Linked DNA regions of Pelodiscus sinensis. The protein of the gene in region 3 interacts with the protein of the main gene of each other region in a pairwise test. Links are inferred from orthologs where the notes say so. Each region holds a gene or a part of one and is shown on either strand. Other genes may lie near its edges.

Region 1 (7,629 bases), on a different chromosome or scaffold from region 3:
CCTGGCAGGGGAGGCCGATTGGCATGGGGGCGGAGGAGAGGCAGGGCATCTGCAGGTCAGATCTGGCCCACAGAGGCTCTCTTGCCCACCTCTGGTCTAGAGCAAGGCAAATTTATTTTTCATTGGCTGAGGTGGTTCATTTCAGTTCACTGGCTATCAGGATTACTTTAAAGCAAGGGCGGGAAACCTTTTTTGGGTCAGGGGCCGCTAACCCACAGAAAAATCATTCGGGGGCCACACATAAGTGAGAAGCAAAGAAAAAAAACATGACTGATGAGGAAGCTCCTCACATTCCCCTTGCACCCCAGAGGTTAGAGGGGCCCAAGCTAGTAGAGTTTATGTGCTCCAGCCCTGTGGGGGGATTGCAAGGGAACTGAAGCACCAGCATGGGCTCCCCAATGCTGAGAGGAGCCCTGAACCCCAGGGGCTGGATCCAGACGGGCCAGGGCTGCATCCTGCCCCTGCGCCTGAGGTTCTCTACCCCTGCTTTAGCGAGTATATTAAAATGTCTACAAATGTTATCACTTTGGGTTGCTACATGTTTTATTAAAGATTTTTCAGTGCATAATACCTATTAATTAAAATGTATTACTGCATGTTAAATTATCTGCTCTTACATTGTGAGCTGCAAATGAAAAAAACGTGTTTAACTTGCTTTCTGTTATACATGTGCACCTAGACTAGCATTATAATATTGGGATTTCATAGAAGAGATCCGGGGTATGGGAGAATCTTCCTGGGAGACTGGGCCTGCCCATGAGCTTCAAGTTCTTGTAACATACTCATCACTTTTGGCACTGATCTTGCAAATGACTGTGCAGGAGGAGCCTGCCTTCCCCACAAAGCTCTTTGTGGATTCAGGGGTCTAGTTATATGGACCCAGAGTCTGAGCATTTGTGATGCTCATATATACCAACAATGCATCCATACATACACACATGCAAGTATATATGGGGAAAAACAAAGACAGTGGATAGCAGGATTTGAAATGAAGAAGGGCCATTAGTTTCAAATGCCTGCAGGATGTCCCCCAAAAGGAGCAGCAGGCCTGTGAGAAAAATTAACTTGATGAAGACTGGTGATAGCAACTGCTGCCAAGTTCATAAAGCAGAGAGCTTGGTGTTGGTGCACATGGGATGTTCATGTCTGTACCTAATCCCCACATATTCTTCATGCTAGAACCCAGCAAAACAGAGTAAACAGAGGGCAAGTTAAAAAGTGCCCTAATATCAGGTGTCCAATGTTTCTCAGACATCCACTCTGAAAGGGGGAAAATAGTAGGCAAGCAAAAGGGGAGTCGCTCCCTCCAAGCAGCGGGGAAGCCATGGCTTCACCTTGCACTGGGAGGAATGGCAAGCACGTTCTGGGGACCTCCAGGTTCACTGAGATGTCAGGCACAGGGAAGTCACACTCACCTCATAGACAGAAGCTGCTGGCACGCTAAGGAAACTCCCTCCCACTCTGGGGAGCAGCCAGGGCCAGCTTGAGCCATTTCTGCGCCCCAGGCAGCGGGCATGCAATGCATGTGTGACTCTGCCCCCGGGCGCATGGCGCATCGTACAGCTGCAATCGGGTGTGCAGCGCCTGATTGCAGCTCTAAGGGGCGGTGTGGCCCACAGCCCCGGGCATGTGGCGTCTGATGGCAGCTCTAAGGGGCGCCACGCACACAGCACCCCTTACAGCTGCCATCAGGTGCCCCGGGCAACTGCCCAGCTAACTCCCCCCCCTTAATCCGGCCCTAGGAGCAGCAAGTATGCCAAGGGCAACTCCCCCCTCCCCCATTAAGGCAGTACCCTCTGGGAGTGACAGCCATGCCAATCAACTCCTCCTTTCTCTGAGGAGAGCAGCAGGCAGCCCAAAGGGATCATTGGGGTGTGTAGGCAAAAAATGGGGCTCACTGTGGAGGTCGGGGGGGAGGGAGCAGCAGGAAGGCCAAAAGCCCCCCTCACTCTCAGATGGGCAATGAGGTGGACTCCCCCTCGCGTTCATTTTCATGAAAGAGGATGGAGATAACACCTTTCCCACAGGAGTAAAAACAGGCTAGTTTCCATTTACTGTGGCTGCTTTGGAAGAAAGGTAGAGAAAATAATCCCTGTGCCCAACATGGCCGCCCACCCAGCAGCAGCCCTTGGAAAGGGGTGGGAGCAAGGAGACAGAAAAAATGCGATCCTGCTCCCCGCAGGGCCGGGCACCCAGCAGGAGGGTAGCGTGGGAGGCACTTTGCGACAGCTCAGGGGTTGCTCTGTGCAGGGTTTAACCCCGTTATGTTCGTCTCCAGTCGAGGGAGGGAGGTGAAGCGGAGGGAGCAGCCAAAGCCGCCTCACTCCTCCCCCTCAGCGAGAGGAGGGGGTATGCGGATCACTCCGCCTCCCCAGTCAGCGAAGGCGGGCGAGCGAGCGAGCAGATATTCCGCCGCCCAGCGGGAACAGCTCCTCCCCCCTCCCCTCAGCAACCCCGATCCCTCCCTCCCACACCGGAGCTCGCGCTCCCTCCTCCCTCCCCGCTCGGCGCGTCTGGCGGCCGCTTTGTGTACGGCGCGCGCTGCCCCCCCCCAACCCCCACCCGCTCCCAGACCCGGGCGGTTCGAACCGGTTCCAACGGCCACCGCCACCCGCATTCTTGTCGTGCGCGCGCGCCACGAACCTCTTCCTCCCGCCCCTTCGTATCGCCCCCCCCCCCGGTTGATTCTGCAGCGTCCGCCTCCCCCACCTCCACATAACGGACTCGCGCCAACTCACCTTTCTCTCCGTCTCCCGCCGCCGCCGCCTCCTCAGACGAGCTTGGCTCGCTCGCACACGCTCTTAAAGTGATACGCACCCCACACAACCTCTTACAGGGAGAAATGGCCGGGAGGGGAGGGTAGGTTGCATGAGCTCCCCCCCCAGTATTTTTGCCCCTCCTTCCCCCCAAAAAAAGCTGCAGGTTGATACACACAGAAAGAACCAACAGACACACACACACACACACAAAAAGGAGACCGGGCCGGCGGAGGGATACGGTGACGTCATTTCCTCCTCAGCTCCAACGCTGTCCTCTGATTGGTTGACTGGGGTGACATCACTGGGAGCCAAGCGCAGCCTACCTTGTCATGGGGAAGTTTGTCTGAGGCACAATTTTGGGGGGGATTCTCTGGGAGGGAGGCTGGTTACAGAAGGGGATTTTTTTCTTAGGTTGACCCCACTCCCACATGTCCAGAAATAGCTGAGAATAGGGAGAATTGGGAGGGAGGGACCCAAGGGGTAGCCAACGCCGCCTTTGAAGGGCCTGATGGCGAGCAGGTCTGCCAGGCTTGGACTACTTCATGGAGGCCAAATAGTCAATAGTCCAAGCCAGTTTCCAGTGTATCCTAACTTTTCCTACAGGTGACAAAGGGCATTTGGAGTCAGGACTTGAACCCGTCATCTGCAGTGAGTATTGGCTTTGGCGTGCCTAGCAACATGGCTGGGTCTCAAACCCATCACCTGCACCAGTTACTGGTAGGGTTGCCAGATGGTTTAAACAAAAATAGCGGACACACTTGAGATGACATCACAGTCTACATTACATCTTATTTAGAAAATACCGGACATTTATATTTTCTCATTTATATTTTTTCAATTTGTTTCCCAGACAGAAAGCTCAAATACTGAACTTTCCGATTCAAAACCGGACACCTGGCAACCCTAGTTACTGGCTTTGGCATGGTTAATAATATGGCTGAGTTTCAGCTCTACCATCTGCACCAGTTATTGGCTCGGCATGGCTAGCAGCGTGACTAGGTCTCAAACCCATTCCCTGCACTAGTTATTGGCTTTAGCATGGTTAATAATATGGCTGAATTTGAACCCACCACCTACACCAGTTATTGACTTGGCATAGTTAATGATATGGCTGAGTCTCCAACCTACCATCTGTATACGTTATTGGATTTGGCATGGTTAATTATATATGGCTAAGTCTCAAACCCACCATCTGCAACAGGTATTGACTTTGGCATGGTTACCGGTATGACTAGGTATCACAGTTTCCAGTTTCAGTGGGCATAGGTTTTGGAATCATTAGCAGTGTGACAAAGTCCCAAACCCATCTGCAACATAGTTCATTATATGGATAGGTCTCAAACCCAGTTGCTATGATAGGTATCAGCTTTGGCATTATTAGTGACATGGCTAGGTTTCAAATAGATAACCTGCAGTGAATACTGGCTTTGGTATAGTTAATAATACGGTTAGGTTTCAAACCCACCACCTGCAGAGTTGGTAAGCAAAATGGGTAAATCTGGAACCAAGCCCACCACCTGCAGTAGTTAATGGCTTTTGGGTGGTTTGCAATGTGGCTGGCACTAGAACGCCCCATCTGCAAGATACAATGTTATAATAATAATTTGTTATTTGTAACATGGTTGGGATTCAAACCTGCCACTGGCAACTTTTATCCTCCTCCCACCTACATTACTGGTGTAGCCACAGGATTCAAACCTATCACCCAAAACAGGTAAAGGTTCTTTGATGGCTAATGATGTGGTTGGGATTAGACTCTGGAGCCTCCAGAGGGTACAAGTTTTTTGTGGTTAGCAATGTGTCTGCAACTTCAAGGTACACTTGTAGCAAGTAACCCCTTTTGGTGATTCGTGACATGGCCAGAATCTGAACCACGTTTAGTCAATCAAGATAAAAAGTCATTATCAATAGCTATTTTGGGGACTCCGTGATAGGAGGTGTAGTTAAAAATATGGTCTTGTATACTCCCCATAAACACCATAACTCCATCAGTATTTGGCACTAATTTCTTTCCTCACTGGCAGTTTGAGCAGAGACCAAGGAATAAATGGACAATGGAAATTGAACTCCTTTGCTATCCTCCATGGGGAATTGTTGCAGGACAGAACTCAGGCACATTGACATGTGGATGAGGAAGTGTATAGGAAATCTGTAGATGCTGCCTAAGTGGATATACAAACCCTTTTGAGCAGGAATCTTAAGCACATGCCTATATTTGAGTATTAATCCCAAAATACTTATTGAGACAGCTCAGACATTAAAATTAGGCACTTTCTTAAGAATCTTACTAGATAGGCACCATAGACTTTTGATTTCCAGCAGACTTAATCAGTAGCTAAAATTCTCATAGAGACATAAAATGTTTTAAATCCTTAATAATCATAATCACATTTATAATTAATAGATACATTTAAAAATCATCAGTAATTTAATAAGCGCACACAGTTACAAAATGAATGACAGTATGCTTAATTGATAATAGATGTAACAGTAATCAAATCATATGCATTTTTCTTAATTATATATTAAACAGGTCATTGTTTTCCATGTATTAATACTGAAGAATAACGCATTATTAACATAATAATTATTTTGTATAATAGTAAAGAGTTCATTTATATATTTGTTAATCACTATTAATAAATAGCTATTCACATCTTCAATGAATGTTAAAAACATTATCTTAAGTTTTCTCACAATACTCCTGTGAAGTTGTTGAATAATAGTCTGCCCAAATGGGCCAAGAGGTATTAACCCTGTTGCTAGCATGTTATTTATTATCCTGGAGTTTATTAAACATGTATGTTCATCCTCTGTAAAAGCACAATGAATTACCAGTCATTTTTACCAGCTCACACTATGCATCAGATTAATCAACCACTTATTGATAGGAAGTGTTTGCATATAACCTGTGTATCACTTCTCTGCAATTTAAAGTTCCAAATTTCTGCTGGGGTATTTCCATTGGTGTCAACAATAGTAGTAATGTGCATTTGTTTGTTTATTTGTGCTGCAGTAGCACCAAGAAATGCCAGTCATGGTCCTTCCCCCCACTAAGTTATGTGATGTAGAAAAGAATCATTTCATGAAAGGCCAGCAATTTTCATTTGCTTTTTCCATGAACATTTCCTGGAACTAGCTGCATGAAGAGTGAAATATTTAGGAATCAAAAATTAAAAATACTTCCTTTAAGTTAATTATTATCATTGCTAGTCTACACTTAGAAATGAAAATGTTAATAAAAATGGATCAACATGGAATTCAGATATTATTAAAACAGAATTAAAAATGACAAATAACAATAAGTGGTAACTACTTAAAAATCAACATCACACCAGCAGAATTGATTTGTCTATTGCATTTACAATATTTCTTAGAATAGAAAACAGTAGGATTCACTATGACCTCTCTCTTAAACCAAAGTATACAATTAAAATATCAAATTAAAGATCAGCCTAAAAATCTGGACAAAAAAGAAACAGAGGATTTAATTGTATTAAACCACCTCATTACTGGCAAGTTGTTTAAAACTGTATGATGGGTATACGTGAAACAAAAGGGAAGCCAATGCCACTTTAGGTAATGCATCAAATCTAAGATTTCCTGTTTGCCTCTGTGCTGCACAGTAGGCTGCTCAGAAATTCACCATGATAGTAGAGTTAGGATTCAGATTTTCATGCTCCAAAAGCTCAAACATCTGTCGCTTAGAATGAGGGAGAATCTTTTTCAACTATTATCTGTGTAGGGGTTATAACATACAACTGATGACTCCTGATTATTCAGCACAGAACAAATAGCACACAAACACTGTTAATTTATATCAGAGGGGTAGCCGTGTTAGTCTGAATCTGCACAAACAACGAGAAGTCCTGTGGCACCTTATAGACTAACAAATTTATTGGAGCATAAGCTTTCATGAGCAAAGACCCACTTCGTCAGATGCCTTATTTTGTTGAATTCACGCATCTGACGAAGTGGGTCTTTGCCCATGAAAATTATGCTCCAATAAATCTGTTAGTCTGTAAGGTACCACAGGTCTTCTCGTTGTTTATACTGTTAATTTAGGCATAGTGTCGATTTTGGATTTAGGACCTACTAAAAAATAAAATGACCCAGTAGACTTACTATTAAATGTATCAATTTCTTAAGAAAAAAATTAACTATTTCTCTTAGAAGTCACAGAAGGGTAGCCTAGTTAGTCTGTAACCTATAAAAAAAAAGTAGTTCAGTAGCACCTTTCTTAGAGTTGGTCTTCATAGAAAGATGTGTGAAAGCAAGGTCCAGGTGTGTCAAGTAACCTTGACCTTACTATGACATTGCTAGCATGGGTGCATTGTAATGCCTTTTAATACAATCGAGCAGGTTGAGATAGACACCCCAAACTAAACTTGACATATTTGTCTAATGTACTCTAGTCCTTAAATTATGGTTTAGCAAAAGTATGAGTGACACAGCAGAGATTAATTAATACATCAAACTAGCTGTTCCAAAGATAGTAAATTGGAGCATTGTGTTTAGCTTCTGCAGTCTGCCAGTTTTCCTGGATGCCTGCCATGTCGGGTTTTTGCCATGAGTCTAAAATTGGAACCACCTGCAGTTTGGTTGGTGTCAAGGCAAGAACTTAAAAGGTTTCAGCATGTGGTTTCCTAACCACTGAAAAAGTCATTGTAAGTGTGTAGTATAGCTTGAAATGGAACAACAGACAGCTTTGCTACATCAGTTGACAATTTTTTTCCACAACATATAGTCTAGGGCTGACTGGAAGGATCAGTAAAAAGGTCCACAGATCTGAATTTGACACGTGGGATTATTATGATTTTGTTATTTGGATTCAACAAATTTATTGAACACATCAGGATTTGCTGGTTTA
Region 2 (7,108 bases), on a different chromosome or scaffold from region 3:
CTTTGCGGGGCTGGAGTCTGTGCTCTGTCCCTGGACTCCGAACCTACAACTCAGCCATGTGGCACAACACAGCACCGAGCAGGTTTAAAATCCCAGGCCGTGACGTTACATCACATCCGGGCGTCTCCCCACCCACTGGTTTGAGCATGCTGTGCAAGGCAGCAGCAGCCAGCAAGGGGGAGCTCAGAGAAGGATGCGCACGGCAGGGACAGGACCAGGACAAGGACGGGGGAGAGATGCTCTGGGGCCGGGGTGGGAGGATGCGCGGAGGGAGGTGGGGTCAGGACCCGCTCCAGCTCCAAATATTGATGGAGCATGGGCACCACGAGCCCACACAACTCGCCGCCCATGCCTCTGCTGGCTAGCTGACTCTCTCTCTCTTTTTCAGAGCGGGCGGGAGAGTGCTGGCTCCTCGCGGAACTCCTAGTTTTGGTCCGCAGGACCCCAGGGTTCTAGTGTATCACACAGCTCCTGGTACTGAACTGAGATTAGCAGTCTACAGCAGTGGTTCAAAACCTTTTTTTAAGACAGATACCTGTAAACTTAAATAAACCTGCAGATCCCCTCCCAGAAGCGATAGATAGGGTAGTGGGAGGCACATGGAGTCATGTGTCCCCCACCTCCAGATTTCTACCTTCCTTTTGGCCCTGCTCCCTGAAGTGCTGATGTAGCAGGGCAGAACAGTGGTATCTCTCCTCTAGGGATGTGAATGACTAGCATTTGCTTATTGGATAGTCAACACACTAGGCAACTAGCAGAAAGAGGCAGTAAGGGTCCGGGGAGGGGGAAACAGTAGAGAGTGCCTCAAAGCAGCAGCACTGCATAGAGCCTGTGACCAAACCCTGGGCTCCACGTGGTGCTGCTGCTTTGAAACACCGTGTGCAGCCAAGGTTACATGCGGCGCTGCCGCTTAGAAATGCCGCTGGTAACACAGGGCCAGCAGGGGGCTGCTTGAGTTCCCTGCTAGCCCCATGCTCCCCACAGTGCTTTTGTCTTTGAAGTGTAGCAGCAGCCCTGGGACTGTGCTACACTTCAAAGGCTGAGGTACCTTTACTGACTAATCAAATAGTGGATGCAAATTGCATTGACCATTCAATTAACCAATTAATTTAAATTTAACATCCCTACTCTCTTCAGCTAGCTGATGCCTGCTCATGGAGTCAATGTCCAAGAAGCTATCCCTTCTTATTACAGGTGGAGCTCTGCAGTGATGCTGCCTTTTTTGGTTGCATCCCCTTAACCCAGAAAAGCTGCGCAGCCCAGAGGGGAATCAAGAAGAGGAGGTGGCAGGGCTCAAGCTCAGTCCTTGGTGAACCCCCTGAAATCTGTTCAGGGATCCAGAGGGGATCCTTGACCTCTCTAGCTGAGAACCAGAGCTCTACAGAAGTACTACATTTTTTCTCAGTTTCTTCTCCCTCTATGTTTTTTGCTCTCATGTGTAAATGCTAAGAGTATTAGAAGTCAGACAAGTCTGAGCGCATCCCTAACCTTTCCTCACCCTCCCAAATCATCTTTGCCCTCCAGAAATACTTGTTCTGACATAGCACTTTATGTACGTAAATTGGTGTTCAAAAAGTGAATCATGTCCCCCTCTGTCACCAAAGCAAAAATCATTATTCCCAAATTAGACAGACAGACATCACTCTGACTTGTTTACAAGACACTTATGTGAGTGGAGGAACCAGGCAAGAACACAGTGTCCTGTCAAGCCCATACTAACCAACAGTTCCCACTGCAGCAAGTGCCATGCTCAGCAGTTGGGTTAGAACATGCATTACTGCAAGGATATGTCTATACAGCAATTATAAAATCTATGGCTGGCTCATACCAGCGGATTCCCATGAGGGGTCCCAAGCGCCAGCCCAACCCCAAATGACTGCACCATAATAAACAAGCCCTTGGCCCAAGCCCTGAGTTGCTCGGCATGAGCCAGCTGCAGGTTTCCAATTGCAGTGTAAACATTCTCTGACAGAAACTTCCCCCTCGCCTCGGACGCAGGGCCGCCTCAGCCCAGCCACGCGAGGGAAGCGGTCGTGTCCCCCCCGCCGGGGCCGCGTCTCCTGCCTGTCTTAGCTAGGCAGGCTTTGCACCGCCACAACCCGCGTCCCCACTGCCCACGCCGCCACCGCCGTGCACCAGCCCGACTCCCCGGCCGCCTCTCCCATCCACACCGCATCGTGCCGCCGCCCGCGGCTGAGCGCAGGGCCAGCGAGGCAATGCCCCAGCGCCCCACGCTCGGGTCTCCAGCGACCCCCGCGCGCACTCACCTCTACAGACGGGGGAGCTGGGGCTTTTCCTCTCCGGGGAGCTCCTGCCCTGCTCCGGCGAGCGCCGCCGCTGGCGATGCCGGACCCTGCCAGCCAAGGCGGCCCCCTCCGGCAAGGGCGGCCCGGGGGAGAGCGCGGAGCTAGGCGGCGGGGGGGGCGGCGGCGGCGGCGGCGGGGGCGGCAGTTGCTGAAGGCGCGGAGGGCTGCCACGCGACGAGGCAGAGGCGGTTGAGCCGCTGCTGCCCCCTCCCCCCGGCGTCTGCGTGGCCACCGCGGGGCCGGCTCGCGCGCTGCTGCTGCCGCCGTTGGGGGGCGCTGCGCGCGTGGGGCTGGTGCTGCGCGAGGCAGGCGTCGCGCGAGAGAGACTCCCGCCTGAGGCGCTGGCTGCGCCGCCGCCGCTCCTCGTGGGGCTGCCATATTGCTGCTGCTGCTGCTGCTGCTTGAGCTGGAAGGGCACCGTGGCCCGCATGGGCTGCAGGCGACTGCTCGCTCCCCCGCCAGCCGCCCCGCCGCCCCCCAAGGCAGTAGCAGGGGTGGGGGAGCCATTGCGCCTCATGCGCGGGTGGGACATTGCGTGCCCGGCGGCTGGGCAGCCCGCGGACGGCTCCTCGAGGGGGGTGCAAACACCTCGCGCTCCCCTCCCCCTGCGGAAGGCCCCTCGCACAGCCACTAGCCGGCCCGCCTGCTCCGTGCGCTTCATCAACAATAGTGCCCCGAACGCCCTGCTCCGCCCTCCGTCGCCTGCCATTGGACACGCCTCAGCCGCGCTCGCGCCGCTACAGCGTCCTGATTGGCTGCAGGGCGCGCTCCTGAGTGGCCGGCTATTGGCTCTTCCAGAGGCACTGTCCTGCGTGCGCGTGCCCATGTCCCTGCACGCGCTCCAGCTCGGAGCGGGGACCGGTCCGTAGCGCCGCGAGTTGCAGCCAGTCCGCGCGACCCTGGCCGGGCCCCGCGCCTCGGCCTCGGCCTCATGCAGGAGACGCGGCAGCAGCTGCCCAGCCGAGGGGAGTGATACAGATGAACAGTGTCGCCGAGCCTGGCCTTTGCACACTCACCTGCCCCGTCCCACAGCTCCTGCACCAGTGTCACATTTCACAGCTGGGGTCCCTACACCCAGCTAGTTCAGAGCTCGGAGATACGGGATTGGCCTGTAGGAATTCGGGATATGATGTCCCCCACCTGTGACTAGGGATGTTAAAAAACAGTTAATTGATAGTCAAGTAATCTCATGAATTCTTACTGGTTAGTTGACTAGTGTCATAAGCATGCACCCAGAGAATTTTTTTAAAATGCACTTTGACCCCTCCCTCCATTAGCCACACTCTCTGACCCCTGTTAACCACGCCCCTGGCCCCCATTAGCCACGCCCCTGGAAAGTTAACCCTCTCTGGGCAAGATGGGCACATGACCAAAAGTAAAAAGTGTTATGTGACCCCTGACCCAAGGACTTTTCCCACCATCCTCCTACCAATAGGGATTAGTTTGGCCACCACCAATCGCCCCCCTCCCCCATGGAACTATCCTGCAATTGCATTAATCCAATGTGTGTGACATTAATTGGAGTGGAGAGGCTGGGGGGGAGGAAGTGTTCCCTCTAAGAGTTTCCTCCCATGAGCAGAATGAATTTTGTGTTGTGCACCAGTACTGAGTTCATGTGGCTTCTTTTGGATGTGCCATTGTGGCACCCAAGTTATTAATAGCTACCTTTCCCCTCTGCTTCCATGTCTCTTCCCATTGCTCCATCAACTCCCCTGGTGCCTGCTGCTCCCCACCCCTCATCCTCCTCTGCTGTCCTGACTCCTGCCCTTCTCACTGCCCTCAGCCTTCCTGAGACCTGCCCCCCCCTCCACCAGCCCTTCTCTCCCCCCTGTGCCCACTCCTCCAGTAGCCCCACTCTGATCATGTGAGCTACCCCTCCTCATCCCCTCATCTAACACCTCCCTCTACACACCTGCCCTGCCTCTCTCCTCTGGTGCTGGTTCCTCCCCTGCAGGTGTCTGCCCTTCTGCTTCACCCCCAGAATCCACTGACACCTGCACCTTCCCTTAGCCCTGCACCCTCCTGGTGCCTCCCCCTTCCCTCACTGCCCTGCCTCCTTTGCCCTTTTTTCCCTGATGCCCATCCCCTCACCTCCCTCTGCTCCCGTTCTCCTCATGCCCCTGTGCCCTCACACATGACTTGCTCCAACCCCACCTTCCTCATGCCCACCCCTTCTTTCTAGCCTTCTCCCAGCACCTCCCCCTCCAATCCCCAATGCCCTTACCCTCTCCTCTTCCAGCATCACCCTGTCCCCCTCCCACTGACACCTCCCCTCCTGCCCTTTTCCTCATTGTCTCCACTTCCCCCCTAGCATTTGTGTCTCCTCTACCTTGCCCCTTTGGTGCCTTCCCCTTTCTTCCCCCTCTCTCCTCCCCCTCAGTACAAGCCCCTTCCACTCCTTCCCCTTTCTTCTTCCTCCACTCTACCCCACTGCAAAACCCCTTCCTCTCCCACTCCTTCCTCTTATACTCCTCCCGCCCCTTACCTTCAGCTTCTGCCTTACAGCTTGCAGTGCTGGAGTCAGAGCCATCCCAAGCTGCATGGCCAGGGAGGGGCACCCCCGGGGCACTGTATGGTGCTGCCAGGCCGGGCGGGGCTGCTTCCAGGTGCCTCAAGGGCACCGCACTGTGCTGCCATGCTGGGCGGGGGTGTTCCCGGGCGCCTCAGGGGTGCCGTGTTGTGCTGCTGGGCCATGCGGTGCTGCCGGGCCGGGTGGGGCCCAGGGCGCAAAAATGGCTTGGGCTAGCCGGCCCGAGACATTAGGGTGTGCCTGGGCACACACTGCATACCCCATGCACATGCCTATGACTAGTGTATGGTCCCCAGGGGTGGGTCCAGCAGCTAGTGTGCTATGGCCCCACTCTGAGGAGCCCGCTGCCTTTCCTTGTTGCTGCCTCTATATTAGAGGCAGCAGTGCAGGGTGCCTGGCAGGAGCTGGTCCATGAGAGCAGCCAGTTTAAATACTTCCTCCCCTCGCAGACCGGCTGCCTGTCGCCCTGTGTTGCTGCCTCTGATAAAAAAGCAGTAGCATGGGGTGGCAGCAGCCCATCTTGGGGGGGGAGGAGTCTGAGCTCCCAGACCCAGTATAAGCCAAAGCTGAGCTGGGCTGCCTAGCCACTCAGCTCCTAATTCACTTTAAATACAGAGTCACAGCAGGGGTAGGTCCCAGACCGGTCACAAGCCAGGACTGAGATGGGCTGCTGGCCAGTCTGCTAAAAAAAATTTACTGGCAAAGGTGGGAGGGGAGGGGTGAAGAGGGAGAGAAATGCATGTAGTCTATAGCATTAACCTATAAGCTGCTTATAGGTTAATTGGTTAATCAACTACACTATTATATCCCTACCCATGACCCAGTTAAACGTAATGTTTGAGCGGTTGACCATTTAAACCGGATTTTACATTCCTATTTAGGAGCTGGCTACCAAAGATCCTGGCTCTTTCCCCGTGCAACAGTCTAGCACACCTTTTTACACCCAAGATCACTTTTTAAATGACAGACCAAGCCAAGATCTACCACCTTGCCCCTTCCTTGAAGTCCCGCCCTCTCTATTCTCCTCCTCTCCATCACTTGCTATCCCCAATTCTTATACTGCTGCTTTTTTAAAAAAAATTCTTATGTAGGAAGAGGTTTTTCCAACATTTGGCCTGTCTAAACTGGACCAAATGTCAGAAAAAAACCCTTCTTTTGGAAGCCCCCTTATTCCTTGTGGAAAGAGGAATATAGGGGTGACCGAAAGAGCATGTTTGCTCTTCCGCTAAAAAAGTGGAAGAACAAACGCAACCCTGGATGAAGAAGAGTTTTTCTGGGATATCTCCAGAATCCTGAAAAACTCCTGCAGTCTAGCCGGACCCTCGCTGGGTTGAGTCTCTGGGGTGGGAATGAGGGATTTGGGTGTGGGAAGGGATGGAGGTGCAAGCTCTAGGAGGAAATCTGGATGCAGGAGGAGGTGGAGAAGGGGACACTGGCTCGGGGAGGGGGCAGTGTTGGGGTACTAAGCAAGCCCCAGGCTTGTGGATGCAAGGGTGCAGGAATTTGGGTTGGAGTATGTGAGGGGCTCAGGGCAGGGGGTTCACTGGAAGGCTCAGCTCTAGGGTCTGGGGAAGGGGGAATGCAGGAGTGGTTGTGCCCAGATGGGGACTCGGCCCCAATTGGGGGTTTGTTGGCCAGGCTTCATTTTTAAATAAAATACTATGTCAAACACAAAAAGTTTCTGCATTGTCTTTATGAGAATGGCAGGGAACCTGCCTTGAGTCAGGTGTCACTGACACATAGAAAACTCATTCGGGAGCAGGGGACACAGTACTGGGGAGGGGTGCTAGTAGGTTCTGGGGGCAGGGAACAGGGTGCCAGTGGAGGCAGGGGACAGGGGACAAGGTGCCAGTGAGGGACAGGTTTCTGAAGCAGGGGACAGGGTGCTGCGGGGGGACAGGTTTCTGCAGAGGGGAGCAGGCTGCCGAAGGGAACTGGTTTCTGCAGGGTGGGCAGGGTGCCAGGGGGGCAGATTTCCGCAAAGGAGGGGCAGGGGAGAGAGAACGGGGGCAGGAGGGCAGGGGACAGGCTTAGGGCGGGGGATAGAGAACAAGGTTCGGGGGCAGGGAGTCCCCTACACCAGCCACGGACGGAAGGCTCCATCCCACGCTCCCTCCGGGGACGACCCTCCTCCCTCCCACCCCCCACTACGGAAGGAAGCCCCGTTGAGCGCCTCTGCCGGGTCTGACCCCCCCCCCCCCCAGCAGGGAAGCCCTCAGGGGCGAACCCCTCCCCATGCACGCCTGCCCCGGGGCCGAAACACCCCCCTCTT
Region 3 (7,979 bases):
GTAACTGCTTTAAACAACAAAAAAATATTTGGCTGGTAGGTTTCTATATATTCCTGTGACAATACTGCATTGGTTGGCCTGGTAGATTCACTATATTCCAAAAACTTGCAGAATGTTTTTGTAGTGTTACTTTTGTGTGTGCTTCTGTGTGTGCAGACAAATTCCCATCTCCACCCAATATTAAAAACAAATGGTTGTCTTTAATCTGGGAAGTATCCTTCTATACATTTCTTATGTGAACCACCAAAATTCCAACTTAAACAATATCTCGGTAAAAAATATTAGAGTCTGGAAGTTGTAATAAAGAGATGAGAATACACTCGTTCTGTGAATTCATCTCATTTGTTTTCATGTGACCATAAAACGGGTAGAAAAAACCTACAACTTGCCTATGTAAATCATTGCAATTTGGTTAATGTAGACTGAAGCTACACAGCACTCATTGTAGAATCATGATCTTAATCAGGACAACCTTGAATACTCTTCTTATACATTTAATCTTTCCTTAGCTAATTAGTGGAAATCAGTAAAAACATCTTTTGTGCCACAGAAAAGTCTTATTTTTGTCCAGGGAACCTAAGTACTGGACTATTTCAAACAAATTGTTTAGAAGAAATTACACTAGTTGAATCCTAATCATATATAATATCAGACAGCAGAATGTCCAGTGGAATAGCGTGATACTATTAGGCATTAACATAACTAATCTCTTCAAGAGCCTTACAATTTTAGGCCTGGCTGGTGCCACTTGATGAATTAAATGTGACAGGATCTCAAAGATGTTAACCTACAAGTTACCATAAATAAGATTTTGGGACAAATCAAAACACAAAATGTGCAAAAGACTTTCTGAAAGAGAGGATGTTTACATCTATGAAAACTAAATTCAATGTTTTAAGTGCTCTAACAATTTATCGAGTTTTTCCTATCTGACATCATTGAATGTATTATTGCAAATAGAATTAGTAAGTTAAAATACAGAGTGATGTACTTACTGAAGTTGACTACAGGGTTTCATGATCAATTAGAACTATTGATAGATTTTATACAACATTCATTTAACATCTATTTAAATGAATTAATGTTTTATTCAAAGAAAATAAAGGGAAACTCAAGTTGCAGTGTTCAAGACTTAAAAATAGTTTCAAGTACCATTCTTCCCCTGCACATTTTGATGGTTTTACAGACACATTTAAAGTGTTTCTCTATAAAAACTACAAAAAAGAAACTGTATTTAAACTGAAACTAACTATACAGAAAGGAAGGTTAAACAAAGTTAACTGGAGAAGTAGCAAACAAAATGCTCAAGCTTTCCCTTGTATTACTAGGAATTATCAGTAAAAATAGCAGGCAAAACTTTTTCAGAAAACGAAGGGTTGTTTTTTTTTCAGTTTCCAAATGCCCATTTAAATAGGTGCTTCTTTTAAAAGAACAAAATTCTTCTCTTGGGAATACTAAAAATAAATGACTATATAAATTATAAAGCCCCCTAGTAAAATTTGGTTATAAGTTTAGTACTGTTCACCATATAAGGAGGGAAAAAAATCTTTAAAAACATGTTAATATTCCAAAGACAAGAGGACAAAACATCTGATGGCTAAGTGCACACTGGTTCAGAAAGTATCAATTCAAAAGAATTGCACTTGCAAATAATGGCATGAAAAAAATTGGCATGTACTTCGTTATGTATCTGTTTCTGTTATTTCCACTCCAACTCATCTGATGAAGTGAGCCTTTCCCACAAGACATGCATCTGACGAAGTGGGTCTTTGCCCACAAAGCTTATGCTCCAACACTTCAGTTAGTCTATAAGGTGCCACAGGACTCCTCGCCGCTTTTCCCACAAGAGCTCATGAGCCTATATGGTTTTGTTAGTCTCTAACATACCACAGGACAACTTGCTTTTCAAGTTACAAACTAATACAGCTACCCCCTCTAAGATCCACTATATCATTTGTGCAATCAGCTGTCAGTACGTCTAAGCCCCAACCTCTTTCCATTTACAAAAGTACACAAGTGACACTTGGGGCGAAGAAAAGGGGGGCGAACAGCCTCTCAATTTTTATTTACAATCCATTTTGAGCGTAGAAGGTGCCCCTGGAGGAAAAAAAAAGTGTCCCTTCCCAAAAAACTCACCATGTAGTGTATGTGCTATGCTGGGGTGGAGGGGAAAGGAATTACATCTGCCTCACCAGCCCTTTTGATAAGAGTATCGCAACCACAGAGCGGCTCCCTCAAGATTGTGATACCCATGGGAGAATAAATGTAGGGTGCCCCCCATGCTAGCCTTGCAGCCATGGACATAGTGGGACTGAGGACTATGGTGGGGCAGCCCCCCCCCCGCGGGTAGTGCTACCCGTGGGGGAAGGAATAAAGTAGCGCAATCTCCCCTTAACGCTAGCCCTGCAACCACTGGGGGGGGGGTCTGAGCCCCACCCCTCCTAGGACTATAGTGGGACAGCACTGGGTTGGGCAGCGAACAGCCCCTCCCCCACAGTGCGGCGGGGGGGGAACGCAGAGACACCCCCCGCCAGAGCCCCACACGGGGGGGGGGAAGCCCCCCCCGCAGAGACCCCACCACAGTGCAGCCCCACGGGGCGGGGGCCTGTCCGCCGGGGCGAGGGGGGGGGAGTGGAGAGTCACCAGAGCCCACAGGCAGGAGGGGCGGGGGGAGAGCGCCCCCAGCTGGGGGAGAGCCCCCCCCGGCTGGGCCCCTCCCTGCGCCTCTCGCTCGCGGCCCGGTTGCTAGGCCAAGGCGGTGAGGAGCGGGGCAGCCGTGCCGCGCCCCGGCCCTCAGGCCCCAGAGAGGCCGGCCCCAGCCAGCCGGCCGCGGGGAGCCGCGGTTACCGTGTGTGGTGACGAATTCTCGTGGTGTTTGTCGAGCGGCTGCGATAATGGCGTCCTTCCTCGCGAGAGATCTCCGCGTCCTCACTGCGCAGGCGCTGCGCCGCCGCGCCGCTCCCGCTCCTTCCCTCGCGCCCCGCCACCGCCCTCCTCGAGAGGCTCGCGCAGCCGCCTAGAGAAGCCTCCCCGCAAACCGCCCTTAACCGCCGCAAGGCCGATGTTGACTACAACTCCCAGACGCCCGTGCGCGAGGCCTGTGCTCCCAAGAGGCAGGCTGGGATGTGTAGTACCGTAGCGTGCCCCCGTGCCTGCTGGGAGTTGTAGTCCAAAAAGGCCCTGCGTTTTCTAGCCCCATTTTATGCCAGTGTGGTGTCACCCTTGGTAATTACACCCCCTCCTCTCACCACCACACTGAGTCACAGGCGGGCTTGTGTGTCTGGCTGTTGCTGGAAACGGACCATACCCATTTTTCTGGTTTGGATCTGGTATCATGGGCTATGTCTACACTGGCATGATTTCCCGGAAATGCTTTTAACGGAAAAGTTTTCCGTTAAAAGTATTTTTGGAAAAGCACGTCTAGATTGGCAGGATGCTTTTCCACAACAGCACTTTTTGCAGAAAAGCGTCCATGGCCAATCTAGACGCGGTTTTCCACAAAAAAGCCCTGATTGCCATTTTCACAATCGGGGCTTTTTTGCGGAAAATAGTACTGTGCTGTTTACACTGGCCTTTTTGCGCAAAAGTCTTTTGGAAAAAGACTTTTGCCCAAACAGGAGCAGCATAATATTTCCGGAAAAGCACTGACGATCTTATATGAGATCGACAGTGCTTTTCCAGAAATCCAAGCGGCCAGTGTAGACAGCTGGCAAGTTTTTCTGCAAAATCTAGACACAGCCATGGGGTTTTGCAAAACCCGGTCTTTGTGACACATACAGACCTCGTTTGTCTACAGATGGAATTGAACCTGACACCTCTGGAGCTCAGTGCATCTACTGCATGAGCTAAAAGTTAGCTTCTTTTTAGCAAAGGCTGTAGAGCAGACTGGTTATTCTTTCTGCAAGTGGTCTCAGTGTTGTTAGATGGTAATAAGAGATCTGGGGTTAGCAGCACTCAGTATGCCATGGTGACATAGAAAACTGGGACAATATGCTGCTTCCACAAGAGGATCCCGGAGTCACTGAGCAGCAGTAGCCCGGTAGAAGGGTATAGCACTTCAGCAGGCCTGCTCCCAATCCATATGGATTCTGCATATTAGAGACAGCAACAGGCAAGAATAGCTGTCAGAGTAGGGTGACCATATTTCCCTAAGCTGAGTATGGAACACCTGGTAACATTACTCATATTCAAGAGAGCTCAATGACAATCAATCAGAACCATGCAGTACAAATGTTCAAATTAACCTCAGGTTGACTGAGACCCTGTTAAAATGAAATACCACATAGCTAGAATCTTTTTACTTTCTTATTTTCAGGGTTTGCACAAGGAAAGTTGACATGCACACATTCCTGTACACTCCTCTCACACAGAGATGGGGGTAACTGACAGACCTGACCCAACCCTCCCTATCCAGTGCTCTCTACCCTTCACGCCTGGCTAGGCCTCCTGGGACAGATCCATCTCTCCTGGTACACCTTCTCAGGACAACATTTGGAGGCATGCAGGGTCACAGGTCCCCTCCCCAGATTTCTGTTGGAGTTCATACCAGAACATGGCAAAGAGCAGCCTTTCGTCACTGTGCAGGAGGGAAGGGAGGGGAGCTGCTTCCAGTTGAAGAGGAGAGAGAGTGGGGATGCCCTGGCTCATGTTTTTCCAGTGGTCATTTCTTCCCTCCCACCCTCTCCCCTATGGTTAGAAGCAGCTTGTCCCTTCCTGCCAGCACCATGTAGAAAGGCAACTGACACCTCCAAGCTGCTGCTGGTCACGGACACAGCCCCCAGTTGCCTCCTGTCCCTGGTGACAGCACAGACAGGAAGGGGTTAAGCCTTAAGGATGCCTTGCGCACCAGGATCCAGGAAACCTGGCTGCAGGGGCATCAGCCAACCTGGCCAGAGAGGGGGCTCAGCAGGGGAGAGTGCCCAGGGGACAAAGCAGCCCAGCACTCCCTAGGGACAGGACTTAGGGCATGTGAAGAGGCTGCTAAGCACCCTGCTTGGGGACCTGCAGGGATGAGGAACAAACAAGCTGGAAGCAGCTTCCTCCCTGCCACTCCAGAGCTTATCCAGGGAGCAGAGAAGCTTCCTCATGCCGGCGGTGTGAAGGGCTTTGGCGCATGAAGGTCTCGGCTCTTCCTGGGCAGTGCCTTAGGCCAGAGGATCTTGACCTTTCCCTGGGTGCAAGACCAGCCGGAGGCAGTGAGGGAAGCCAGGCTATTGGTAAGATGAATGATCTGACCAGGCAGTGGCTGGTTTTCTGCACAGTGCCGGGAGTGGGATGTGCCTCACCAGGAGGGAGATGTAGCAACAACAATGCGGGCGGGGGGGGGGGGGGGAGTGAACAGGCACAGCAGGGAGAGGACAGTGAGATGGGAAGCATGTAAATGGCCATTGGGTGGGCAGCAGAGGTGGCACGTAACTAGCCACTACCTGCCCATGTTCCTCAGCCACTGGAGCGAGCAGCCAGAGCTGGCTGGCAATAGGGCGGGGCAGCCTGCTGGCCAGGAGTTGGCATGCAGAAGGGACTCCATGGATGGACAAGTAGGAAGAACAACTAGCCACACATGCTGCAGCTTTAGCTGACCACGAGCCTCACACACTCAACTCCGTCGTCAGCCACTGGACCCCGTCCCATCCCCTCGCCTCCTCACTCACCACTGGTGGTTGGATGGCTAGTGAGCAAGGATACTGGCCAGTAGTAGAGCCAGTTGTGCCCTCTAAGCTTCACAGCTGATTAATCAGTCCCGCCCAGTCAGTCAGCTCTGTGCATGGAGCCCTAAGCCTTTGATTCGGCAGGGCTGATTAATCACCTGTGAAGCGATACAGCCTCACAACTTAGAGAAAACACTGAGTAGGACCCACCGGTACTGATGGGAGGAAGAGAAAGAAAATATAGGACAATTTGCTCATTTTTAAGAAAAAGTGGGGACACCTGCAGGAAGGCTTAAATATGGGACTGCCCCTTTAAAAATTGGGCAGCTGGTCAGTCTATGTGGGAGGTATCATGGGGAGTGCGGGGATCATGGAGCACCATAATCATGGGAAAAGAAGAAGCAAATAAACAGGGGGATCTGAGCGGATCTGCTTCCATGAGCAGGGATGACAGCCGCTGGCATCGTGCAACATTAACTACCCCAAAAGCAGCAGCACCACAACTACTAAAGTGTGATTGGAGCAGATCCTGAGGTGACAGGTCTAGTGGTGAGTTGAGGTAAAGAATTGATAAGATCACTGCCTTGAAGAGAAGGACCTAGAACCAGGGTGTAAGGCTGAGACTATGTTTTGCATTTAGAGACCATCTTCTTCTCCAGTAACTGTGTAGCACATAAACATGCCTAATGTAAAACAGCGGTGCATGAGAAGAGCCTTGAAGCTCACAGCCAGATTCTGAAATAGATGTCTTAGATGTCTCATTCCTTTTAGTTATTTTTCTCCTCCCTTGACATATCGGTTCCACTCATTTTGCACAGCCACTGACTCCCAAATCCATACAAGTTACAGCACTTTCCCCCACTATCCATATTTCTACCTATTTATACCACCGTTTATGTCATTGTTGAATTTGGCTCTAAAGCTAGCAAATGAGTTGAAATACCTTGCTGCATTTGGCTGATTGTGGCTCTGTCGTCCGGTGGATTGGGCCTGTAAGAAATATCTATGATCTCTTATTATTAAAAACAAAATGTGGCCACTAGGTGGTAAACTTAAACAACAAATAGTCTAGCAGCACCTTAGAGACTAACAAAAAATGTATATGGAATCATGAGCTTTTGTGGGTATAACCTTCTTCTAGGCACAGGCCCAGCTAAAAGTATATCAACTCCAGTAACGGTTTTTGGCTCAGTTTACTGGGGAGCATTATTTTAGATTTTTACAATAATCAGTGCCAATTTGCTTTTTTTTTTTTTAAATAAAGCTTTTATTAAGACAGTCTTTATATCCTTCTTGCCATCTCAATCCCCATTTCTCCATGTCCATAGTATTTACACAGCCAGAGAGGGATCCCTGCAGTGGATATGGGAAGGAGTGGTGGCAGATATAACAGGTGGAAGAGGTAACTTTATCCTCCCACTTCTTCCATGCCTCCACCCACCTCCTCTGATCTGGATTTTCATATATGAACTTGGGTCAAATTCCCATAAACTTCAACAGGAGTGAAAAATGAGTGAGACTTTCCAGATAATAATGGCATTCTTTATTTATATAGCGTGTCCTACCAGAAGATGTTTTAATATTCCCACACAGATGAGAATTCGGGATTTTTTATTTTAACTCAAAAATCCAAATTGTGGCCCACATTTTGTATTGCATATATGGTATAATATATATATATATATGCAAACTTTTATCTAAATTGCTATTAACATTATTTTCTCACAGAAGACATCTTTTTTGTTTTCTCTTTGTTTTAGCTTTCATCTGAAAAGAATTCCTGGAGAAATAGCTACTCTCACATCTCCCATATGGATCTCCATGTTTAGCCCATTCGTCAGTTTCCCTTTCTTGCTCTTAGAAAAATCACAAGGCCAAGCATACCATCAGAGGTAAAAAATTAACTCTCTGTGCACACAGTTTTGCAACTGTACTAGCATCAGGAGAACAAATGTTGCCAAAGAGACAGATGAGTTCTTCCAGGGCTTTAGTTTAAACAAGTGACAGGCATTCACAATTTGAACTCATTGGTGTTTGCAGATGAAAACTGAACAAAGGAGGAAAAAAGAGGAGATGTACAGATAATATGAGCAGCTACAGAACATAAGCTACAGTAGCTCTTTAAGGATGTTTTCTTTTACCATGCATAAAATCTGTGATTAGGTAATTTGCAGATAAGATTATATCAGTGTGACCTATATTTCGAGATTATTGTTTGAGCTAACTTTATTAAGTTTCTGGACAATAAATGTTACACACTGGAAGAAGCATACACATGGCTCTAGACACATTGTGCTATAGCAGTACATAGAATTGACATACAATGCCAGT
Region 4 (7,442 bases), on a different chromosome or scaffold from region 3:
AGCCCTTGACAGCCAGTGAAGTGCAGGCCCCCGACGCCCAGCCCAGGGGGTCAGTGGACTGCAGAAGCCAAACCGTGAGCCCCCCGACTAACCGCTCAAGAGCCGGGCTCTGGGTCCGTGCTCAGAGGTTCCAGCCAGTCCCGCCCGCTCAGCGGCTGGTAACTTTTCAGTTCTCGCTCAGTGGTTGCTTCGCCGGTCTCCAGCCAGGGCAATCCAGCAGTGCCCTGGGGACGGGCCCCGGGGCCACCTTCCCTCCCCCTGCTAATGGCAGCGCTACGGTCCCAGGGCTCATCCAGCCCCTCTGCCTTGGGAGCTCTGCCGCTCGCTGGCTGCCCAGCCGGCCCCCTGCGCTGGGGGTCTCTGGCAAAGGGCAGCGAAACAAGCCCCAGGCTGATGGACCGTGGGAGCCGGACTGCCCGGGAATCCAGCTGCTAAGCAGCTCGGGGCCTGGCCCAGGCTGCTCTCAGGTGCGGCTCAGCGAAGGTCTGGGCCTGTCCTGCGCTTGCCCCCCCGGGGCCAGGTGCCGCTGCCCGCCTGCCCTCCGAGCCCCGGGACCGCCCGTCTCCTCGGAGGTGGCTGCAGGTTCCCTGGCTCGCCAGGGCCCCGAGTGAGATTCACAACAGGTGGGCTCAGCCACAGCTGGGTGGGTGCGTCACACAGTCCTCTGCCCCCCCACTGGCCCTTGGCTGAACCCACACGCTGCTTCCCCCCTGCCAACCGGGTCGCCATGGAGGCAACACAACCTGACCTTCCAGGCCACTCGCCCGGCCCGCCCAGCGTTATGTAAGTGGGTGGGTGGGTGGAGGAGCCTCTGCTTAACCCAGTTACCCAGTGAACTATTTCCAAGGCGCCCTGAGCCGACACGCCAGCGGAGAACCTGCCAGGACAGCGGGCACCGCACCCAGCGGGGGAGGGCGGAGACAGAGCCAGCTGCTGCCCTGGCAACAGTGGGACGGCGGGCAGAGTTTCATCCGAGGGGGGTTTGCATCGCCCGCCCCCCGGGGGTCGGGGCCTCCGAAGAAAGCACAAGGCTGGGGGGCCTGGCGTGAGCTCTCCTCCCCGGAGCTCCCCAGCCTCCTGGCTTTGCCCCTCACGAGTGCACCCCAGGGGCCACATCCGCCTTCCTGCAGCCACCAGGCATCCAGGGCATTTCTGGGGGCCCTGAAGCCGACACGAGTGGCCGGCGCTGCCGAGTCCAGGCTGGGGATGGAAAGCCCCCCCGGGACAAGAGGGAAGCCACAGGAGTCCCTCGAAACAGGGAGGGGATGTTCTCCCCGGCACTGGGAGGTGCTGAGCCCCGCCCCCACAGCACCTCTGGCTTCCAGCACCAGCGTGTCCAAAGCAGCTAGTCCCGGGGCAGCGTCCAGAGTCCCCGGAACGGGAGCCCATTCACAGCAGCAGGGCACGAACTCGCCCTGCCCCACGTCTCCGTGGGCCAGCACGGCCAGGCCTTCGGAAACTGGGGAGCCGAGTCACAGCAGCCCCTCCCCATCCCAGTGCAAACCAACCAGCCTTCCACAAGGTCACGCTGCCGCGCCCCGGGCTGGCGTCAAAGTGACAGGAATGGGCAGTGAGGCGGGAGACTCCAGACAGGCCACGTGCAGAGGGCAAGTCCGCAGGAGGACGAGGGAGGGAGGGATTTAGGGCTGGTCCTAACAAACCGGGCAGAGGGACAGGGGGCCTGGCCAGGGGGTCCCAGTGGGCGACAAGGAATGGCCCTGCTCTGGGCACACCAGGGGAGGCCGGATACCAAACTTCAGCCCTTCCAGCTCCCCAGATGCTCAGAACCAGCTGGCCCCACCCCGGAGCCCCCCACCCACCTCCTGGCCTGGCTCCCTGCTGGAAAACACACTGCACCGAAGCCAGCCCAGCGCCGGCTGCAGCCACCAAAGCCTCCCCAGCGAGCGGCTGACAACCGGGGGCTGCTGCCCACAGCACTTCCGAGTCGTGGCCAGTTTTAGGCAGTGGCAGCACGACACCACCGGGCAGGGAGCTGCGGTGCACGTGGATCGCCTGTCCGCGAACACGGGGGGGCCCGGCGGCTCCCGGCCTGCGCGCTCGCAGCCGCCAGTCAAGGTAAGACACCCCAGCGGGCCCCCCCGGCCAGCCAAGCCAGCAGCGGGGGGGGGGGGGGTCACAGCGTGGCACAGCCCCCGCCCCCCGCCCGGCTCACAGGGCTGGATCTGCAGCGGCCAGTCCTAGGAGGGCTCCGGCCCCCCCCCCGCCAGCCAGGCAGAAAGGCCCGGGCCCAGAGGCCAGGCTCGCCCTGCCCCCGCGGAGACACTGTCCAGGGCCTGAAACCGGCTGGAACAGCCCGAGCGCCGCTCCAGACCCCCCCGCACTCGCAGCCGGCCGGGCCCGCACGGGAAAGCCCCCCCGGCAGCAGCCCGGGCTGGAAACCCCCCAGCCCGCCCCCACGCAGCCCCGCGCGTGAATTCCCGGCACCCGGGGCAGCGCCAGCCCCCGCGCCCCGCCGCGCCCGGGGGGGGGGGGGGGAAACGGGGCGACCCCGCTCCCCCCGCCCCGCACCGACCCGCCCCGCCCAGGGCATCCGCGCTGTTGCCATGGAAACCCCCTTTCCCGGGCAACCCGCACCCGAAGTCCGGCGCGGGCAGCAGCGTCGCGCCCCGGCGCACAAAGCCCCAACCCCGGCAGCGCCCCCGGGCACAAAGCGGCGGCGCGAGCCAGACCCCCCCGCCCGACGCGCCGGCCCCGGGGGGCGCCCCCCCCGCCCGAGGGCCCCCCCGCCGCGGAGCGCCCTGCCCCCCCGCGCGCACCTACCTTCCAAGGGGACCGACCGGCCCTTCCCGTCCTCGCCTGGCTCGGGGCGCGGCGCAGCCGGGGGGTCACTGGGGCTGCGGGCGCGGCTCCATGGCGGGGGTGCAGCTAACAAAGCCCGGGCTCCGCGGCCCCTCCGCGCCCTGCCGCCGCCGCCTGAGCCACCGCGGGGCGAGTGAGCCGCTGCGCGCAGCTCCCCACCTCCATCCTGCCGCCCGCCCCGCGCCAATTGCACAATAGCGCCCCGGCGGCCTCATCAATATTCATGGCCCGCCCCCCCCCGCCAGGCCAGAGCAATGGAGCTCCTATCCGGAGGCGGGGGGGGGGGAGCTGCAGCCTCCCCCCCCCCCCCCACCACCGCCCCCGCCCGCGCCCGCGCACGCACGCCCGGGGTGGGAAAGGCAGACAAAGGGCTCCGCTCCCTGGCCAGGCTGGGCGCGCGGCGCGGGGCTTCCAGGCGCAGGGAAAGGGGGGACCCCGCCCCCCACTGGCCGTGCCCGCTGGGCAGGGGCGCCCCTGTGGGGAGGGCGCTGCCGTGGGGCTCAGCACGTGGGCGCAGGATCATCCCGCCTGGCCCGCTTGTGCGCCCGGCTCCCCGCCGCCCACCCGGCACCGCGACCTGCCGGGGAGGGGGCGCAGTGTCCCGGAGACACCAGGGGGGCAGGCCGCTCTGTCCCCCACCATCCCGGCACCGCGACCTGCCGGGGAGGGGGCGCAGTGTCCCGGAGACACCAGGGGGGCAGGCCGCTCTGTCCCCCACCATCCCGGCACCGCGACCTGCCGGGGAGGGGGCGCAGTGTCCCGGAGACACCAGGGGGGCAGGCCGCTCTGTCCCCCACCATCCCGGCACCGCGACCTGCCGGGGAGGGGGCGCAGTGTCCCGGAGACGCCGGGGGGGGGGGCACATCTGCCTCCCACCGCTGGGGGCGCAGTGTCCTAGAGAGACGTGGGGGGGGACACACACATCCGAGGCTATTCCCCCCACCTGATGTTTCACACCTGCTCCCTGGCCACCCGCTAGAAAGCTCCGGAGGGGCGTATGAACCCAACCAGCGTGGAGGGCCTGGCCTTGGCCCTTTTGGCTCCAGGGTGCCCAGGCTCGGGTCCTGGTGGCAGCCAAGAGAATATCCCCGCCAGCCCGGACGTGCCTTCCCCGACTCCGTTCCCCACCAGGGCCCCTTGCGCCATGCAGGCAAAACACCCCGGCCAGCAGCCCCGCACTGGACACTGCCCCACCAATCTGCCAAGCCCCCCCCCCCCTCCCCCAGCTGGACATGGTCCCCAGGGGAAAAGCTTTTATACATCAGCTCTGGAGGAGTGTTAGGAACCCGGCACCCCCCACCTGACCCCGAAACACCCCACGTTGGCCGAGCCCAGCTCCCGCCGTGCGCTACTATTGCAGCGTGGTCTCAGTGTGCGCGCCCCCACGGCCCGGCCCCCCTGCTGATCAGAGGCATGTTGGACGGAGCGGGGGGAGGAGCAGGTGCCTTCGGAGGAGACTTCCAAGGAGCCTGGAACCCCGGCAAGTTTGCATGCGACTGGGCCACAGTCCCCCTGGGGCCTACGGCAGCTCTGCTGGGGACCCTCCCCCTGCGCGGCCAGGCCAAAGGGGGCCATTTTCCCTCCGTTTTTAAACCAGTTCCTGTTCCTTCCTGACACTTCCTGAGTCTGGCTTTCCCCAGGACACGAGTTGGGGGTCTCCTGGGACCAGTCTGGTTTGTTTCATCGCCATCGTATTTTCAGCCATGCGGCCAAAGAGGTGGGAACATGCCCCCTCCTCCGTGCTGCTCAAGCGTGGAATGCAGGTTGGGGTAAGATTTCGGTGCCCTCTGTGTGCCAGCGCCTGAGCCTCCCCCCGTGCAGGGGCATCTTCCGTGTGAGTTGTAACAGGGCGAAGGGAACGGTGCCGGAGAGCCAGCCATGCGCCAGTGGGGCTCTCAGAGCGGGCCTTGGCTGAGCAGCCGTGGGACAGTGCACAGCACTTCCATGTGGTTTGCCAGTAGGGTTCAGAGTGAACGGGGATTGAGTCCCTGGGTAAATGCAGGCATGTGGCTTGGCAGGACGATGATATCAGCCTCTCCAGTCCCACCTTTATACTTCCTCTCCCTGCCTTTTCCGTTTGTTCCTCCCCTTCTCTTTCTCACTCCCTTCCTTGACTCCTGGGGGTTAGCAGCCACACCTGTTCCCAGGGGACAGCGCTGCTGCCTGTTGGCTCGGGAGCGGACACTCACCTAGGCCGAGCGCTCCAGATGTGGGGGCAGGGAATGTGATCTGCTAGGAGCCTGCAGCCCCCTTTGGCTGGGGGAGGAATGTAGCCCTAGCCCTTTGGACAGCCAGGCCTGGTAGGTGTCCAGGCACATCTGGAGCCAGTGCCCCACGCTGCGGAGATATAAAGGGGCTCTGGAAATCAGCAGGCTATTCCCGGCCCAAGGATGACCAGTGATGGTGAGGCCTAACCTGTGACTTTGGAGGCCTGGAGTTTATCTTGCTCTGCCACCGGCTTCCTGTGCAACCTTGGGCATATCACTTAACCCAGCATGCCATGGAAGTCAAGAGGCTGAGTCTCTTTTAGGATCTGAGCCTTGGTCTCCCTGGCCCCAACAGCACAACAGGGCTACTAGCTGTGCCCAGGGAGGTTATGAGGATAAACCTGTTAAAAAGCTGTGCGGTGCTCGTATCCTACAGTAAGAGGCTGCGCACCACTGGGGAACTTTCTGTGTGGATTCAGTGGGGGATTTTAAAGCAAATTGACCCAACTCTGCCCGTTACCATCAGTGCACACAGTCCTTCCGCTCCTCGGGTCCCAGCTCCAGCCCTCCCGGGGGAATTGCAGGGTCCGAGCCTAGCGAGTGCATGGTGAGCTACCAATAAAAGTTATTTTGTTTCATCCATGCTAATCTCGGTTTTCATTACAATCCTACCTGTCTGGCCAAGATCTTCCAGGGCCGTTTCAGTGCTTGCAGCCCAGGGTTAGCAGCCCGGGCTCCCGGATCAGCTCTTCCTCGGCCTCCTACTCAACTTAAAAGCAGGCCTTGCTGCTGTGCCTTGCCTCAGTTTCCCCATCTGTAATGTGGGGCTAAATGACACTGCCCAACTTTGAGATGTGTGGCACACAGGGGCAGGGAAAGGGCAGCAATTTTCTGGGTCCCTCCTGGGAGAGAAGAGAAGGGGGTCAGTTTGGGGTGCAGCCAAAGGGGATTTCTGGTCGCCAAGTCTGCTGGATGCGGATGGACCGGGGGGTTCTTCACCCCCAAACTGCCTAACCCAGGCTGTGCTGCCTAAGGTCACACACAGATTTTAAGGCCAGGAGGGGTCATAGATCAGGCCAGGAATTTCACGCCTTCATGAGGAGTTTGTGGCAGTCGATACTAGTCACCCGCCCAGGTACAAATCTGTGCTTCATTGCTAAGGGCATTGCGGGCCCCGCTCTCTGGTTTAAACAGCCCTTCTGCACCCAGTGTTTTCTCCCTCCGAGGGTGGGGTGTGTGCACAGCACCTGGTCCAGGACAGGGGCGCCTCGGTGCGAGGGCAGGGGCGAGCAATCATTTCTGGAGGGGAGCCACTTCACCAATTTTGGTAGTGGTGGTGGGCTGACCCCGGAAGGGGCGGGGCGTCACGTGGAAGGGCGAGGCCTCGGATGGAAGGGGCGGTTCCCTCTGGGTCTCAATTGGCCTGGGGATGGGGGCGTGGCAGGGCGGGCCATGGGCCAGATCAAACAGTTTGGCCCATGGGCCATATCTTGCCCACTCCTGTGCCAAGTCTGAATAATAACAATACTCACACCACAATCATGTCACAGGCCAGACAGACCCAGCCCTTCAATAACGTTTGTAACGCTTCTCTGCACCCTTTCTGGCTACGTCTACACAGCAGGCTTTTTATGCAAGAACAGCTGTTCTTGTGCAAAAACTTGCTGGGTGTCTACACTGCACACGTGTTCTTGCGCAAGTACAATTTACAGCCAGCGTCGCAAAACAGGGCTTCTTCCAGAAGAGTTATTCCTCCCTCCGTGAGGAATAAGCCCTCTTGCACAAGAGCTCTTCCACAAAAGGCCAGTGTAGGCAGGCAACATGAATTTCTTGTGCAAGAAATCCCTATGGCTAAAATGGCCATCAGAGCTTTCTTGTGCAAGAGAGCATCCACACTGCCATGGACACTCTGGTGCAAAAGCACATCTCTTGCACAAAAGCACATGGCAGTGTGGACGTTCTCTTGTGCAAGAACTTTTGCACAAGAACTCTTCATGCAAAACAGTTCTTGTGCAAGAAGCCTGCAGTGTAAACGTAGCCTCCAAGTTTCCAGCAGACCTAGGCAGAGTCTAGCTAAGTTCTAGAGTCCCCAGTCATAGGAAGGACCCTCACCTCCCCCTCGCCTCCATTTCTTCCACTCCTTCCAAGATTCTGGCCCTAAGAAATACAATCATGTATTTGAGATTCACTCCATTTCACCTTTAAAACAGAGACCTTCCCTATGGATTCCACTAAGTGGAATAAAACTCCTGTAGTAGTGAAGTTTTCCGCTACCATCAGTAGGTTTCAGAATCAACAGCCCTGTCAAACAGACACGGCAGTTGGAGTTACTGTGTCACACTGGCTGGAACGTTGCTCCTTCCCAGCTAGGAAGGGCTTTGCCTGCATGAAAGCTGAAATCCAGCTGTAGGTGCT

The links.
Region 1: the proteins of BANP (region 3) and POGZ interact in binary tests that used the Homo sapiens proteins (3 or more experiments, as listed by UniProt). The two-hybrid records come from large-scale screens. The link is inferred for Pelodiscus sinensis from reciprocal best matches to the Homo sapiens genes BANP and POGZ.
Region 2: the proteins of BANP (region 3) and FAM117B interact in binary tests that used the Homo sapiens proteins (3 or more experiments, as listed by UniProt). The two-hybrid records come from large-scale screens. The link is inferred for Pelodiscus sinensis from reciprocal best matches to the Homo sapiens genes BANP and FAM117B.
Region 4: the proteins of BANP (region 3) and ZMIZ2 interact in binary tests that used the Homo sapiens proteins (3 or more experiments, as listed by UniProt). The two-hybrid records come from large-scale screens. The link is inferred for Pelodiscus sinensis from reciprocal best matches to the Homo sapiens genes BANP and ZMIZ2.

What each region holds. Positions count from the first base shown.
Region 1 is NC_134734.1:15,206,315-15,213,943, forward strand, and holds the start of POGZ (pogo transposable element with ZNF domain), read right to left. Parts: upstream 3,002-7,629; 5' UTR 2,739-3,001; intron 1-2,738. UniProt on the Homo sapiens protein: Plays a role in mitotic cell cycle progression and is involved in kinetochore assembly and mitotic sister chromatid cohesion.
Region 2 is NC_134717.1:55,989,640-55,996,747, forward strand, and holds the start of FAM117B (protein FAM117B), read right to left. Parts: upstream 3,012-7,108; 5' UTR 2,968-3,011; coding exon 2,268-2,967; intron 1-2,267.
Region 3 is NC_134722.1:5,025,775-5,033,753, forward strand, and holds the start of BANP (protein BANP), read right to left. Parts: upstream 3,009-7,979; 5' UTR 2,848-3,008; intron 1-2,847. UniProt on the Homo sapiens protein: Controls V(D)J recombination during T-cell development by repressing T-cell receptor (TCR) beta enhancer function. Binds to scaffold/matrix attachment region beta (S/MARbeta), an ATC-rich DNA sequence located upstream of the TCR beta enhancer.
Region 4 is NC_134738.1:4,833,556-4,840,997, forward strand, and holds the start of ZMIZ2 (zinc finger MIZ domain-containing protein 2), read right to left. Parts: upstream 3,011-7,442; 5' UTR 2,782-3,010; intron 1-2,781. UniProt on the Homo sapiens protein: Increases ligand-dependent transcriptional activity of AR and other nuclear hormone receptors.